Linked DNA regions of Astyanax mexicanus. The protein of the gene in region 2 purifies or fractionates together with the protein of the main gene of each other region. This does not show direct contact. Links are inferred from orthologs where the notes say so. Each region holds a gene or a part of one and is shown on either strand. Other genes may lie near its edges.

Region 1 (7,744 bases), on a different chromosome or scaffold from region 2:
ATGTTAATACATTCTCGTGACCTGGTTTATTAAACTCTAAATGTGACATCACAAGAAACTGTAACTTCATTTATCTATTGTAATATTCTGTTGCTGACACAGGCATTGCTAGGAATGAGTGTGTGATAAATGCATAAAGGTTTGTGCCTTTTTATTATGAACATACTGATATTAAATGTGTATACGTAGCTTTAAAAATCCCACACAGTCAATCTGATGTAATACTTAAACAGTGGTTTAGACTGTTGACCTTGGCATCAACAAGACACCTTACACTGTTAGGAACCCTTCCACTGACACCCACCTGGAGCATTCCAACAATCTCCACCTTGTTAAAGAAGATGAAGGAGTGCAGGGTGGAAAGCATGTTCTCCTCAAACACGGACGGCGTGGGCAGCACCATGTCCTGGATGTACTGGACCCGGTATGTCTGGTGAATCTTCTGACGTAACTCTGGGTCTGTGATGGGGATGACTTCTTTAAACCTGGCTGTAGTTGTAAGGAACTCACGGTGGCGCCGTGGCTGAGGCAGGGCCGGGTCGAACTCCAAGCAGCCAATCACGTCCATGATGCACTCTTCTGAGAACATGACTTCAAAGAGTGCAGTGCGGTTGAGCAAGAATATGCCCTTGATGATGTCATACAGGTGGTGTAGGCCTTCACGGTTCTCCAGGTCTTCACATACACGAAACAGCTCAAGTAGCTTGCGAATGTAGCCCTCGTTTTCCAGTGCCAAGGCCAGTTTTTCACGCCGTTGGGGCGAGGGCAGCGACGAGGCTACCAGCTCGGCCACCTCCTCCAGACGAGAGAGCTCACAAGGAGGCAGCTCCAGCCCAGGGGAGGACATGTCCTCAAAGCGCTCCTCCTCTGACTCATCAATGAGCTCCTGGGTAATGTCCACTGAGGGGTCCTTGCCTTGAACCTGAACCAAACAAACACAAATAAGCAGAATAAAATATATGGGAGAGAGGATCCAAAAATATAGAACATATGAGCAAAATAATGAAAAATAAATAAAAATAATAAGAAAGAAGCAAATATATGAAAAATACTGATGTTGGGCTCAGCACTGCCGTAAACATTACAAAAGTGCTAGACAAATACATTTGGTTTGCATGTTCAAATCACCTGACATATCTTCTCCCAGATCTCATCGCAGCCAGCTTTCTCCTGAAAACTGAGGGCCAGATCATAGTTTTCTGCTTCAGACCACACAATTAATGTGTCCTAATTGAAGAGAAAACATAAGAATCAGATATAATTTACATTAAAAAAAAGTCAAGATACAAAACAGTCATGCGTAGCTTTGGCTGGCATTGACTTTTTTCCGCTGTATGATGCCAGGCTAGAGATAGAATTACTGGCTGGATATGTCTGCTTGCATACAGAGCTGCAGTCTAAAGTTTTAACTTACTGAAAAGTAAATAAACAAACTGCACACAAGCTCATAATGTCCTGGATTTCATGTTCGTGTGACAGTTAAAAATGTGCACTTGTATTAATTGCATTGACAACATGCTTTTTGAAGCATATCGAGGTGATCAGTACTTCAAGACTACTTTAAATTTTACATTTCAGTAAAGAGAGTGAACAATTATGTTTAATTAGATTATGTGCAGCAAACATTGAATGATGCATGCTGTCCGCATGTCAAAACATTATAGCAAAACACTGTGATATGTTGAACAGTAACAACTGTATTGAGATACACATTGTATAGTCCAATTATTGGACGGCCCTATAGTGGTATTGTGAATGTCGTTCTATTATTATAATAGCCCAGCTGTAAAACTTGGACTCACCTGCTGTTTTTGATAGGCGGTGTTGGGGTTAATTTTTGACTCCAGCAGCAGAGACCCTGGGAAATTGAAGAGGTGGGGTGATCAGTATCCACTCATCACTTCAGACCGTGCCACACAATCCGACACACAGCTGGTTTCTCTGAGATGAACTTACCGTCACTTTCGGCGCGCACCAACAGCGACATGCCTTTGAGTCTCTCGACGTATCCGGAGGACACATGGCCCGTCCCTCGGTCATCCCACTGCCGGTCTTCATTCAGAGTGTAGACCTTCACCCGCCGCCGAGTGTCAGTCATTCTTGCGAGTCGCTTGTAAACACTGGAGCAGGTGATGGTGTGAGACTATCCTGGTTAAATCTGGGTGTTGGAGGCGGCTCCCTCCCTTTTACTTTAAGCGTATCTTGTTTAGTCTTCTCTGTAGAAACGCGACATTTAGCTCTCTAGCGCTCGGCTGCGTCTGGTGTCGATGCTAGCGCGCTGCTCCAGTCAGTCTAGCCTTAGCCGGCTAGGCTAAGCTAGCGGTCTGTGTGTGTGTTGACTCCGTCCGCAGCAGCATAGTTAGCTAGTCAGTGCCCTTCGGTATCGCCGAGTCGCCGACCACAGCCGCGTTTCTCCTCTCCGACTCCGGCTCTGAACCCGGGATATCTGCGCGGGTGGAGCGCACAGCTCACAGGAGAAGAGGGGGCTCGTTTTCAGCTGCCCTAATTCCTCCAACCGAGCCCACCACCACTGCTAACGAGCTGAGCTAGCTGTTAGCTAGCGGGCTATCTGCTCTCCCCAAACATTCTTCCGACTAGCGCTAATAACACAGTTGATTTAGGAGAAAGAAACGCCTCTACTGCCCCATTATAATCCCGCCCTGCCTGTGGAAGTGTGAACGCGGCTGTAGGAACCCGCACAGCTCCGTGCGCTCATGATAAGTAGGCGGCAGCGGCAGCAGCTCGCAGCCCCGCTAGCTAACGCTTATATTTTGGCCAAGTGTTCCGCCATGTTCTGGCTGAGGGCCGTGGAAGGACCAGCCTTTCCTCAAACGCAGACGAGCGTGTGAAGCCGGAGCGGCTGAACAGACAAGCTCGACAAACTCCCCTCTACAACAAACGTCCCGGGCAAACCGCCGAGCACCATCAAACCGCGCCGTCTGGACGAGAGTAATTATTAGCCCCACTGTAAGTGTTCGGCCATCTTGGGTCCCCTCAGAAAGCATGTACGGGGTTTCCTACGCATCGAGCGCAGGGCGGCCCGCCACCGTTTAAAGGCACAGAGCAACAGTCAATACACACACACACACAATCCCAATCAACTCACACAGTAAACACACACACACACACAAAATCAACTCAGTGAACACACAATATACACAAAGTAAACTCACACAGAAAAAACTGTTCACAAACAGTGTACAACACACTATAGACCTATTCACAATCACATACAAACCAGTTTTAGACCTATTCACAATCACAGTGTACAACACTACAAACCTGCTCACAATCACACTTTACAATACACTACAGACATATTTACAACTACAGTGTACACAACACTTTAAAACTGTTCACAATCACAGTGTACAACACACTGTAAACCTATTCACCATTACAGTGAACACACTATAAACCTTTTCACAATCATTGTACAACACACTATTAACCTTTCACAAACACATTGTACAACATAGTATAAACCTATTCACAATCACACTGTACAACACATTGGAAAAAAACTGGTTAATCTCGACACAAAACATTTTGACCTATGACATTAAATTTGAAAATAGAAAATAGGGTATAAAACGTAATTATATTGCTTCCTCATTCAATATAATGTACAAGAAATTGGATGTACTCCAATTTTCTAATTGTTCTTTTTTACATCTTGTACCAAATGATGACCTACTTTTGTTACAAAATGCAAAAATCAAATAAAAAAAAAATATGAGGGGGAGGTGCCAAAAAACTAGATGATAACCTATTTCTTGTTCACTATAAAAATATAAAATCCATAAGTCAGAAAATTCAAGTGATACACATTCCATTGACAGAGGTCCAACAAAAATTGAAACTCTGACCTTGCAGTTTACAAGAGACATGTTTTGTTCCACACGTTCCCAAAATGTACTTGCTAGATTACCTGTTAATATGTTTCAAAATAACACACACAAAGTTAAAATTTGTTATTTTAACTGTTTATTATAGTAAATGACAAAATAAACAATGGTGAGCCACTTAAAAAGTTACAGTCATTAACAGCCAAATTGGATTTAAAAAAAGGGAAAAAAAAACATTCCAAGCAGTTAACAAAAACAGAAAATTATTAAGTCTAAACGTACATCTTTCACACAATATGCTTTCGTTTAACACAAACATCTCTGTAACAATGTAAATTCACCTTTATATAAACTGTGGAAAAAGGGAAGCACACACAAACCGGTTCTAAAAAGGGATGCAAAGGCAACCAAGGAAAAATCTCCCACACAATGAAAAACACATCAGTCAGTTGTTTTAGTGGCTCAGATTGGTGGGTCCTATTGTAACCATATAAAATTTGTGTACCACGTCTACTGCTTTAGGGACAAAGGAGAAAAGAACCAAACTAAAACCACTCCAAACAAGTTTATTAAGCGGCAAGCATGGACAGCTTTAGAATCGTTATACAGAATGCAGATTCAGTGTAAACTACTGGAGAATCACAGAAAACAACTTTTGAAATTATATTTAAAAAAGTTTGAGGGAGGATGATACAAAATATATATCTTTAAAAAAAATCCTTCAAATTGAACCCTCCTGTCCAGTTAATAAACCCCACTGCAATGGGTCCAACTGCCCATGCCCCCACCCACCCCAAGCACTCTAGAGCCAGATAAAGGTATTCTGATGGTAAATCTTTCTTGGCATTAAGAGTACACAAATGTTATCAACATAATATCAACATAAGAACACTGAGTTTCCCAAAAACACTGTGGCAAAGACCTGCAAGTTTTAACTGAATCAGTTTCCTAGTAACAGATAAAAAGGTCTTAACCCTACAGTACTTTTAGGAAACCCACCTGGGTTTTGTTTACATTGCCCAATAATGCAGTGTAATTCTCATTAAGGTAACAAATGACAGACGATTTGCTGCAGCCAATGTGAAATGTCCCTTCATCTTCTATTTCCCTGCTTGTTGAGCCTGGCGTCTCAGCAAGACATAGATCTTCTCCTTGATCCAGTCTTTATTGTAGGGCTGGTATGTCTGTGTGTCTGCCCGGTACCTGTTCAAATCAGCAGAGAGAGAAATCCACACAATCATGTATTATCCTTTAAGTATTCCTAAAAATATTGTACTCACAGTCAAACTTACGCAGAGGCTGCAGATGTTCGGTAGTATAGATATAGATAATAGCTTATTCAAATTGGTAGGCTAGTTTTCCACAAGCATCGTACAGTTCAGATCACATGGATTAAGCATATTGTAGCACTGAACTGCATAAGCAATGTCACTGTACATTAATCCAGATTTGGGCCAAACCTAATTAGAGAAACCAGCCAAACAAGTAACAACTCATAGTAAGTGTTAAGCAAAACACTGTAGCTCAATACATTTTCTTTTTAATTGTTTTACAGAAATGATGTAATGTAATGATGAATAGTCCAAAATATCAGATTTGTTTAAAGCAGCAGTTCTTAAGATTTTTATTTTTATGGGTTTCTGCAAACATTACTGTAAAACCATAGATATTAGTTCTAAAAACAGGGGGTCTGGTAGCTTTAGCTGTTTACCTGAGCATTTGCAGTGCTGCTATTAGTGCTTATACAATGCACATTTTTAAAGAACTTTAACATTCTGTGCAATTACTCATTCTCAACCAAAATGTATGGACTGTCACTTTAAATCTTGTTACATGATCAAGTCAAAAAGGTTTGTTTGTTTACCTTATCCTAAAAAAATTTTTGGAGATGTGCAATATGTTTATTCACTTTCATGAAAACAACAGTGAAGTTTTCAGCGATTAACATTCATGCCTTGTTTACACACAAGATTCATTTAATGTGGACACTTACACCAGACAGCTGAGGTCAGCGAGGTCATCCACAAAATCAAACAGTTGGCTGATATCATAGGTGATGGAGGGGCTGTTGGGATTCATTCTTTTTAGATGCTCCTCGTACATTTTACACACCCCTAGAAAGAAAAAAAGAGGAAGAAGAGGTAAAACACACACACACCCTAAACCCATAAACCCATGGACTGATTTTATAGAGCTCACCCTCCATGCACTCATTCACAGACTCATAATCAGCATAAGTTCTTCCCTCTGGCCTTTTTGTAGGCTGAACCAGCAGAATTGTGTGAGACTGAAAAAGAGAAGCAGGAAATCATGAAGGGTCACAGTTAGGCCTGGACAATAATTCGATATCGGTATTTATCGCGATAAGAAATGTTTCAATAACGGTGATATCAGTTTTGTGGTATATCGATATGTATTAGAATCACGGACAGGCGTCTTTTACTGGCGTCAGCTCGCTGCAGAGCTCAACACATTCAGCCCCTGTAGCTGGGCTACGTCAGTGCGTGATGACGTAACCACACAGGCACGTAGCCAAATAGGCTAGGCTAGGCAAGGCTAGGTTAAAATGGCTAGGCTCGGGTCCGCTTCGCTACGCAGCAAAAATGTCTCTCGCTGGAGCCAAACGGAGCCGGGACGAGCGGATCCAAGGCTAAGGTAGACTCGGTTCAGTCGGCCCCGGATCCTCGAGGCCGGCCGCGGGTCCGCTCGCTCGGCCGTGGGTCCGCTCGCTCGGCCGTGGGTCCGCTCGCGGGTCCGCTCGCTCGGCCGCGGGTCCGCTCGCTCGGCCGCTTTGCTACAAATTGTGCCGGAGAGTGCAGCCGACCAGCAGCGGTAATGTTAATACATCTAAACTGTTCCACCACTTCAAGCAACTCCACTACATACAATATTTTTCTTATACTGACTGAAGCACTTTTACAGCTTATGTTGTAACTAAGTTATTCATAGTTGATAAAGCCTGTAGGTTTGTTTATTTGACGGGAAAATCTTGTTGTTTTGATGTTTATAAAGGCTTATTGTATTCTATATCCTAGTTGAAACACTTTTGTTTTAATCTGTTAAATTTGTTCACAAAGAATAAGAAGCTCTGCCTCTGTTGTAATTTAAAGTTATTTTTATTGGTAATAGTTATATAGGCTTATGTTTGACAGGGATGTCATGTTATTATTTTGCTATATGCAAATAAAATTGAGCATTGATTTATTTTGACTACTTTTATTTCTAAAGTATTAAAGCTTTTGTGAAAGGAGGTTTCAAAGGCTTAAATTAAATTTTCAGACAGTAGTAGGTACAGGTTTCCGATAGATAGATAGATAGATAGATAGATAGATAGATAGATAGATAGATAGATAGATAGATAGATAGATAGATAGGCATATAATGAGGGTATGTGATGCCAGCCATACAAAAAGTGCAAATACACAGTTATATAATAATTTAAATTCGCAGTGCTGCAGGGATTGCAGGGCTTCTTAGCAGTTTTCTGAGGCCTTCAAAGTATTTATATCAATATCGAAATTATATCGTATCGACCGAAATTTAAGAAATATATCGTGATATAAATTTTGGCCATATCGTCCAGCACTAGTCACAGTTAACACTCCACACACCGACAGCTGCATGGAGAGGGAGAAAGAGGTTTTCATGGACACACATCTTGACTTTCTGAAGCTTGAATTGCTCGTAAAGGTAAAAGCAGCTCACACAGTCAATTATCTACTTTATCTACCTGAACCAGAGAGATTTCCTAATGTTAGTAAACATTTTGCCAGAAAGCAGTGGAGTCTAAATACAGCTCACTCTACACTAGTTTCCTCTGTTAACCCAGCTAACCTTCTGCCCTCTTATAAACCAGGATTACTGAACCGCGAACTGGAACACCCAGCTCCTTAATA
Region 2 (7,180 bases):
GTCCACATACAGACCAAGGCCTGGTAAAGGGGATAAAAAGGTTTGTGTGGAATTGTGTTATACTATTAGATTAACTTCATCAAATAACAACAATAATATTATCACAATTATTTCTGGGACAATATATTGTCTAAACAAAAATAGGTATCATAAAATCATATAAGAAAAATATAGTAGGGCCAGAGTCAAATCAAATCAAGTTTACTTTCATATCTTCTAAGTAAGGATGTAAAGGTGAGTGAAAAGCTTTGGGGCATGACCGCACTTGGTACACAGAAAGAACACAAAGTACCAGTCTATTTAGCACTCATTTAATGTTTTTTTAATTATTTTATTATTAATATTTTCTACATTGTAGATTAATGATGAATACATCAAAACTATAAAGGAATGCATATGCAATTAGGCCCGTCACAATAATTACTCAATCGACTTATCGTTCAATAAATGGACGTGACCTCAATCATTTTAATAATCGTGATATCGTCCATTGTGTTTGCACTTACATATATTGTGACTGTGAGTGTGACCTGGTAATGCGGAAGCACAGAGAGACACAGACACAGGGAGTGAATGAACTCAAATTGTACCTTTATTAGGAAAAATGTCCTCCATCAACACCCAAAACAAACTTAATGAAACATAGAAACACCCAGTACGGCTCTAGTCGCTTAACTTTAGTGTCTCTTTATGTTGGTCCAACGTGGGCCAGCTGGGGCAGACCGGGGCTGCACGTCAACCCACAGCTCCCCTGCCTCCACATTTCACAATGTGTATATGTATATATATGTTGAAGAACCTACTATAAGCTACTTTGGTTCAGGCTGGGAACTTTTCGGGTTCCAAAATTAGGCGTGTGAACAGGAATGGAAAGTTTAACGTCTTTAAAAGGGTGCAATTCTTTTATGATATTATGTTATCATTACTATCGTTTTTCACAATCATTTCTGACAACATAATGTTCACAAAAAAAGTTATTGTGCCAGGCCTATATGCGATTATGAAAAACTTGAAGAACTTAAACAAGCCTAAATATGTTTTATACTTTAGGTGATTCAAAGTAGCACTGTTTGCTTTGATGCCAACTTAGTCCCTCTTCACTTCATGATTTTTGATTTATTCATAATCATCCATGCTGCTATAGGGAGTCAGAATTCAGCACAACCTGTAAAGATAACTCACCGTATTAACAACATTCACATGAAGATTTGTGCTAACTCTGGTCTAGACTTCCCGGTGTGAAAAAGGACTTGAAATAGTGAGAAGAAGAAAAAAAAAAAAAAAGAGGTGAAGGAGGTGTGTGGGACGGAGGGGTGTTACTAACCTTATTTAAAAAGCTGGTGTGAAGAACCCATTGGTCTCTTGCATAATATCTCAGTGCCTGTCTGAGAAACACAAAGCAAAGTCAGAACTTCATTAAAATATGACCAAATTAATGAACAAATAAAAGCTGTGTTCTAATATTCTGACATGAGTGCATCATTACTAACAGGTTTACTACAAATTCAATTTATACTAATCTTAATGCTGAAAAGTAGAACACCAATGACCCAGCCTTTTTCTGTGGACATAAATATATACTGTTTTAATATATATTCAATGTAATATATATTTTATTTATATATTTAAATATATAACTCGAAATAAAACATTTTTTTCCCTTTTTTAACCCTAGTATGTTAATTTGTTTGCTCTTGCACATTAAAATCCTGTCCTTTTAACTACTTAAATATACATAAATACATTTGAAAACATAACTTAAAAATGTAAAGGATTCAGCCACAGCTGTTTTAAATCAGGTGTGTTTAAAATGAGGTAACTAGCTACTGCAACATAATGAATCTTAATATGTATAATATATATTTTTAGTATACAATGTTTTATACACTCTTTTTATACAAAATAATAAGTCTAATAAAAGTTAAAAATGAAACAAAACTAGAGTAATGCATCAACAAAAGATGAGGTAACTAGCTAACCTAGCTAGTTAATCCATAATATTTTAACGGCAATTAAAGCATACTAAAACTATTTCTTTAACTAAAAAAGGCTGTTTTAAATCAGATGTGTTTGGAAAGGTAACTAACTAGCTAACCTAGCTGGCCAGGTTATATTATTTAACTGGAATTCTCTCAAACAAATTATTTTATTCAAGTGTACACTACTGCAAAAAAATAAATACTAATATAAAATATACTTTTAGTAATGTTTTATACAGACAGTAGAAATAAATCCCAACATTTGTAAATGTTTGTCTTTTAATTAAACAGTAAATTAGTGGTTCCAAGGTCTTTATTATTTATTTGGAGATAAAACGTTTTTCACTATAAAAAGCCAAAACAGTTTTAAATCAGGTCTGTTTGAAATGAGGTAACGAGCTAACCAACCTAGCTAGTTAGGTTATATTAATTTAATTTGAATTATCTTATACTAACTTATAATATCCTCCTTTTTCCGTGTTAATTTACTGGTTAAATACACAAATAAAATGTATCTAGTCTAGTTAGCTAACCTAAATAGCTAGGTTAGGTTAAACTAATTTAACGAGAATGTTTGCTACCGTTAGCTAACAGAACCATGAGCCAAAAGCCACAAAACACTGTAATATTACAGCTATTTTCCTACATTTAAACCCCATTATCTGCTAACTCGGATACGCTGTAATAGACTAGAATAATTAGAGAATAATTAATTGAGCGAATCTCAGTCTGTAATCAGGTAACTTTACTGAACTCAGTAACGTTACAGCTGAGTGAGCGGAGCAGCTAACGCTAACAAACACAGAACAAACACACACACAGCGGCTAAAACCGCGGATTAAACCCCGAAGAAAGCCCTTATCCGCCCACCTCTCACACTAATACACTCCGGGATATACAGCAGGTCTCAGCGCGGCGGGTAAAATCAGAAATAAGACACTAAATGAAGATATTTACCCTAAAAACACCAAGCTAACCGCGTCCAACCTGCGTACAGCGGACCGCCATCGCTATCCCATAATACAAGAAGCGGAAAACACGACACTTCACAATAAGAGTCTCGAGAGCAGTTCAAAAAAATGAATGGGTCTCTATAGAGCTGAGCAAAATCTGAGTTTAATAATATAAATATTTAATTATTTAATAACTAACTGATAAATGTATCACAACATCTATGTATCTAGTTACATGAATTAATGGGCTCTTATTAAGCATTCGAACAAAATCATGTTTTTTATATATACATGTTTAATCATTTTTATACTGAAAAATGTATCTACTTATCTACATATCTATTTATCTTTAAAAAAATGAATGGATTCTTTTGGAGCGACCGAGCAATTCCAGAGTTTATAAATATAAATCTTTAATAATTTAATAATTATCTGATAAATATATACACATATATACATAAAATGAATGGCTTCCTTTGGAGCAACTGAACAAAATCAGTGTATGAATTGAAATGTTTAATAATTTAATAGTTAACTAATAAATGTATTTACATATCTATTTATCTACATAAAATGAATGGGCTGCTGGGAAACAATTGAGCACAAAGTTTTATCAAAGGTTTATAAATGTTTAATCATTATAACATGTACTTTAACATATTAACATGTATATTTAAAATGTTTCAACTTATCTACATATATATATATATATATATATATATATATATATATACATATATATATACATATATATATATATATATATATATATATATGTATATATATATATATACATATATATATATATATATATATATATATATGTATATATATATATATATATATATATATATATATATATATATATATATATATATATATATATTAACTACATAATATTACATTGTTCTCATAAAAAATGAGAAAATTAAAGTTTATAAAAAGTTTAATAATTTTAAATGTGAAAAATGTGTAAATTCATCTAATTATCTACATACATTAATGGGCTTTTATGAAGCATTCAGGGAAACTCAGATTATTCAATTAAATCAGTTTATACACATTTAACAATTTTCATATCAAAAATGTATCTACTTATCTAGATGAAATTAATGGCTTCCTACGGAGCAACTGATCTAAACCAGAGTGTGTAAAATTACATTTTTAATAATTAAATAATTAACTGATAAATGTATTTACATATCTATTTATCTAGATAAAATGAGTTGGTTCAATAAAACAAAACCATAGTTTAAGAAATACAAATGTTTAATAATTTAATAATCAACTGATAAATGTATCTATTTTTTTACATAAATTATGGATTCTTATAAAGCACTTGAGCAAAATCAGAGTTTATACATGTTTAATAATTTTCATACTAAAAATTGTATCTACATATCTCCATATCTATTTATCTACATGAAATTAATTGGTTCCTATAGAGCATTCAGCAGAGTTTATAAATATATGTTTAATAATTTAATAATGAACTATATGAAATATATCTACATGAAATATGAAATATATCTACATATTTATTTATCTAATCATTTATAAATGTTCAACAATTTTCATAATGGAAATTGTATCTATGTATCTATTTATCTACATAAAAAATGAGCAAGTTCCTATTAAGAAACAAAAATAAATAGATCTTTCCATTTTAACACTGTAGAGGGCACTTTAGAACATTTTGATCACAATATTATTTAATTAAATATATCAGGCATATAATTTCATGTCTGTGAAGGCTTCATCAATAATGTATCCAAAATTTAGACCAAACACACAGAGTCAGAGTTCATTTTCTTCCGCTGTATTTTAAAGAAACGTACAGCTTCTCTCAAATCAAGACAATTTAAAATATATCGGACAGCCAGGAAGATGTACACAATGTTCACACAGAGCAAAGCAGTGCTGTGGTGGAACTGCACACAGGAGCAATCACGTATTTACACTTTAAAATGAGGCGGAATGATTTATGAATGATTTATTATTAAATACTCAGCTGATGATCAGAGACTACAATCTGAGAGGAGATCACAAAGTACCAGAATCTTAATTTGCTCTTATCACACTCATTATTACACTGTGCTCAAAACCTACAGCCAATAATATATTATACACTCATTCACCAAAAAATAATACAGACCTGCAAAACAGACTCAGGCTACTTTGTATATATATATATATATATATATATATATATATATATATATATATATATACCACTTAAAAATGATGAGTTTCTTTGATTTTACCAAATTGAAAAATCTCTGGAATATAATCAAGAGGAAGATGGATGATCACAAGCCATCATACCAAACTGAACTGCTTGAATTTTTGCACCAGGCGTAAAGGCATAAAGTTATCTAAAAGCAGTGTGTAAGACTGGTGGAGGAGAACATGATGCCACGATGCATGAAAACACAGTTCCACCTAATATTGATTTCTGAACTCTTAAAACTTTGCATTATTTGAGGTCTGAAAGCTCTGCCTCATTTTTTTTTATTAGAGCCATTTCTGATTTTCTGCAATAAGTGCTGTAAATGACAATATTTTTATTTGGAATTTGGGAGAAATGTTGTCTGTAGTTTATAGCATAAAACGACAATGTTCATTTTACTCAAACATAAACCTATAAATAGCAAAATCAGAGAAATTGATTCAGAAACTGAAGTGGTTTCTTTTTTTTTCAGAGCTCTATATAAAAAGGCTCTCATTTGCACTATACTCTTTTGGGTAGTGTACCTCCAGGTGAGAGATCAGACAGCTAGACACACCTCTACAATGTACTTATAGACATTTTGCACATTTGACAGACTGTAGGAGGGTATGCACCATTGGACTGAAAGAACCAGCATGCACACCATCCAGACTGTTCATCAGCATGTCACTGCTCACCAGTAGTAGTGATAAGAAGCACAATAACAGCTCATTAAAATATGCAGGGCTTTTTTTAGCAGGATAATGCTTGTTCCCACAAACTTTGGCCTGTCTGGACGCAAAATTTATTACCAATAAGGAATTTATTGGATCAGCTGGGATGCCAGGATGGACTATGAAACTGTTGAAACACCAGTCATTTTAGTGTGGGAGGTTTCATGACTAAATTGGAGCAGCCTGGTGGCCAATCTTCATTAATTGCACATTGCAGCAGTAAGAGCAATAAGAGTGTGAAGGTTCAATTAGCAGGGTAAGAGCACAGTTCTGCTCAATATATTGGAATGCACACAACATTATGGGAGACATACCAGAGTTCAAAAGAGGACAAATTGTTGGTGCACGTCTTGCTGCCGCATCTGTGACCAAGACAGCAAGACTTTGTGATGCATCAAGAGCCACGGTATCCAGGGTAATGTCAGCATACCACCAAGAAGGATCAACCACATCCAACAGGATTAACTGTGGACGCTGTAAGAGGAAGCTGTCTGAAAGGGATGTTCGGGTGCTAACCCAGATTGTATCCAAAAAACAGAAAACCACGGCTGATCAAATCACGGAAGGATCCAATGTGCACCTCAACTCTCCTGTTTCCACCAGAACTGTCCGTCACCACAATCAATTATTGTGGTCTAAAACCAGGTGTAAAATTGTAATCACTTATATACTGTATTCTTGGTGCATTATTATAATATTTTTGGTTAATGAGTGTATACAGGGTGCAATTACATGAAATCAGAGCATATTTAACAAAACATTCAACCACCCGATTGTGTAAAAAGCACTGAAAGTAAGAAAAAAAAAAGCTGCATGGGCTGAAAAGAAAAAAAGAATACAGTGAATATGCATATGAAAAGACATATAATCATTAAGAGACAAAACAAAGAACAGATCTGCATACATATAGAACAATGTCACTACTGCAGGGGAAGGCAGCTCACGGACCAAACTCTTCTGAGGCATCGAACACGTGAAACAGCACACGCTACAACTGTCGGCGGCAACGACGAGATGAAGAAAAAAAAAACGTACTGTAGAATGCATAGAATAATCTGCGTATGAAATATATATACGTATATATGAAATATAGACTTTGTGGACTGCTCACCAGTTCAAGTATTAAACACACAAAACCACAAATCAGCTTCTCCAACGAATAAATTACTGTTATTATACTCTTCATTACATCTCCATAAACATATGTGTAAAAAATACAAAAGGGCAAAAGTGTTAGGACCATTTTTCATCATCTGTAATCTTTCAGTACCACACTGTATGAATCAGAAAGAGAATAATAAAGAG

The links. The genes of interacting proteins can lie anywhere in the genome.
Region 1: the proteins of dhx38 (region 2) and smek1 purify together in Homo sapiens (co-immunoprecipitation; 3 studies listed by BioGRID and IntAct, with this or other methods). This does not show direct contact. The link is inferred for Astyanax mexicanus from reciprocal best matches to the Homo sapiens genes DHX38 and PPP4R3A.

What each region holds. Positions count from the first base shown.
Region 1 is NC_064408.1:51,831,339-51,839,082, reverse strand, and holds the start of smek1 (serine/threonine-protein phosphatase 4 regulatory subunit 3), read right to left. Parts: upstream 3,019-7,744; 5' UTR 2,099-3,018; coding exon 1,957-2,098; intron 1,859-1,956; coding exon 1,803-1,858; intron 1,228-1,802; coding exon 1,129-1,227; intron 923-1,128; coding exon 305-922; intron 1-304. Other genes in the region: erh (enhancer of rudimentary homolog), read right to left, coding at 4,949-5,051, 5,842-5,962, 6,048-6,135. UniProt on the Homo sapiens protein: Regulatory subunit of serine/threonine-protein phosphatase 4. May regulate the activity of PPP4C at centrosomal microtubule organizing centers.
Region 2 is NC_064423.1:36,778,102-36,785,281, reverse strand, and holds the start of dhx38 (pre-mRNA-splicing factor ATP-dependent RNA helicase PRP16), read right to left. Parts: upstream 3,018-7,180; 5' UTR 2,937-3,017; exon of another isoform or gene 2,850-2,936; intron 1,386-2,849; 5' UTR 1,325-1,385; intron 1-1,324. UniProt on the Homo sapiens protein: Probable ATP-binding RNA helicase. Involved in pre-mRNA splicing as component of the spliceosome.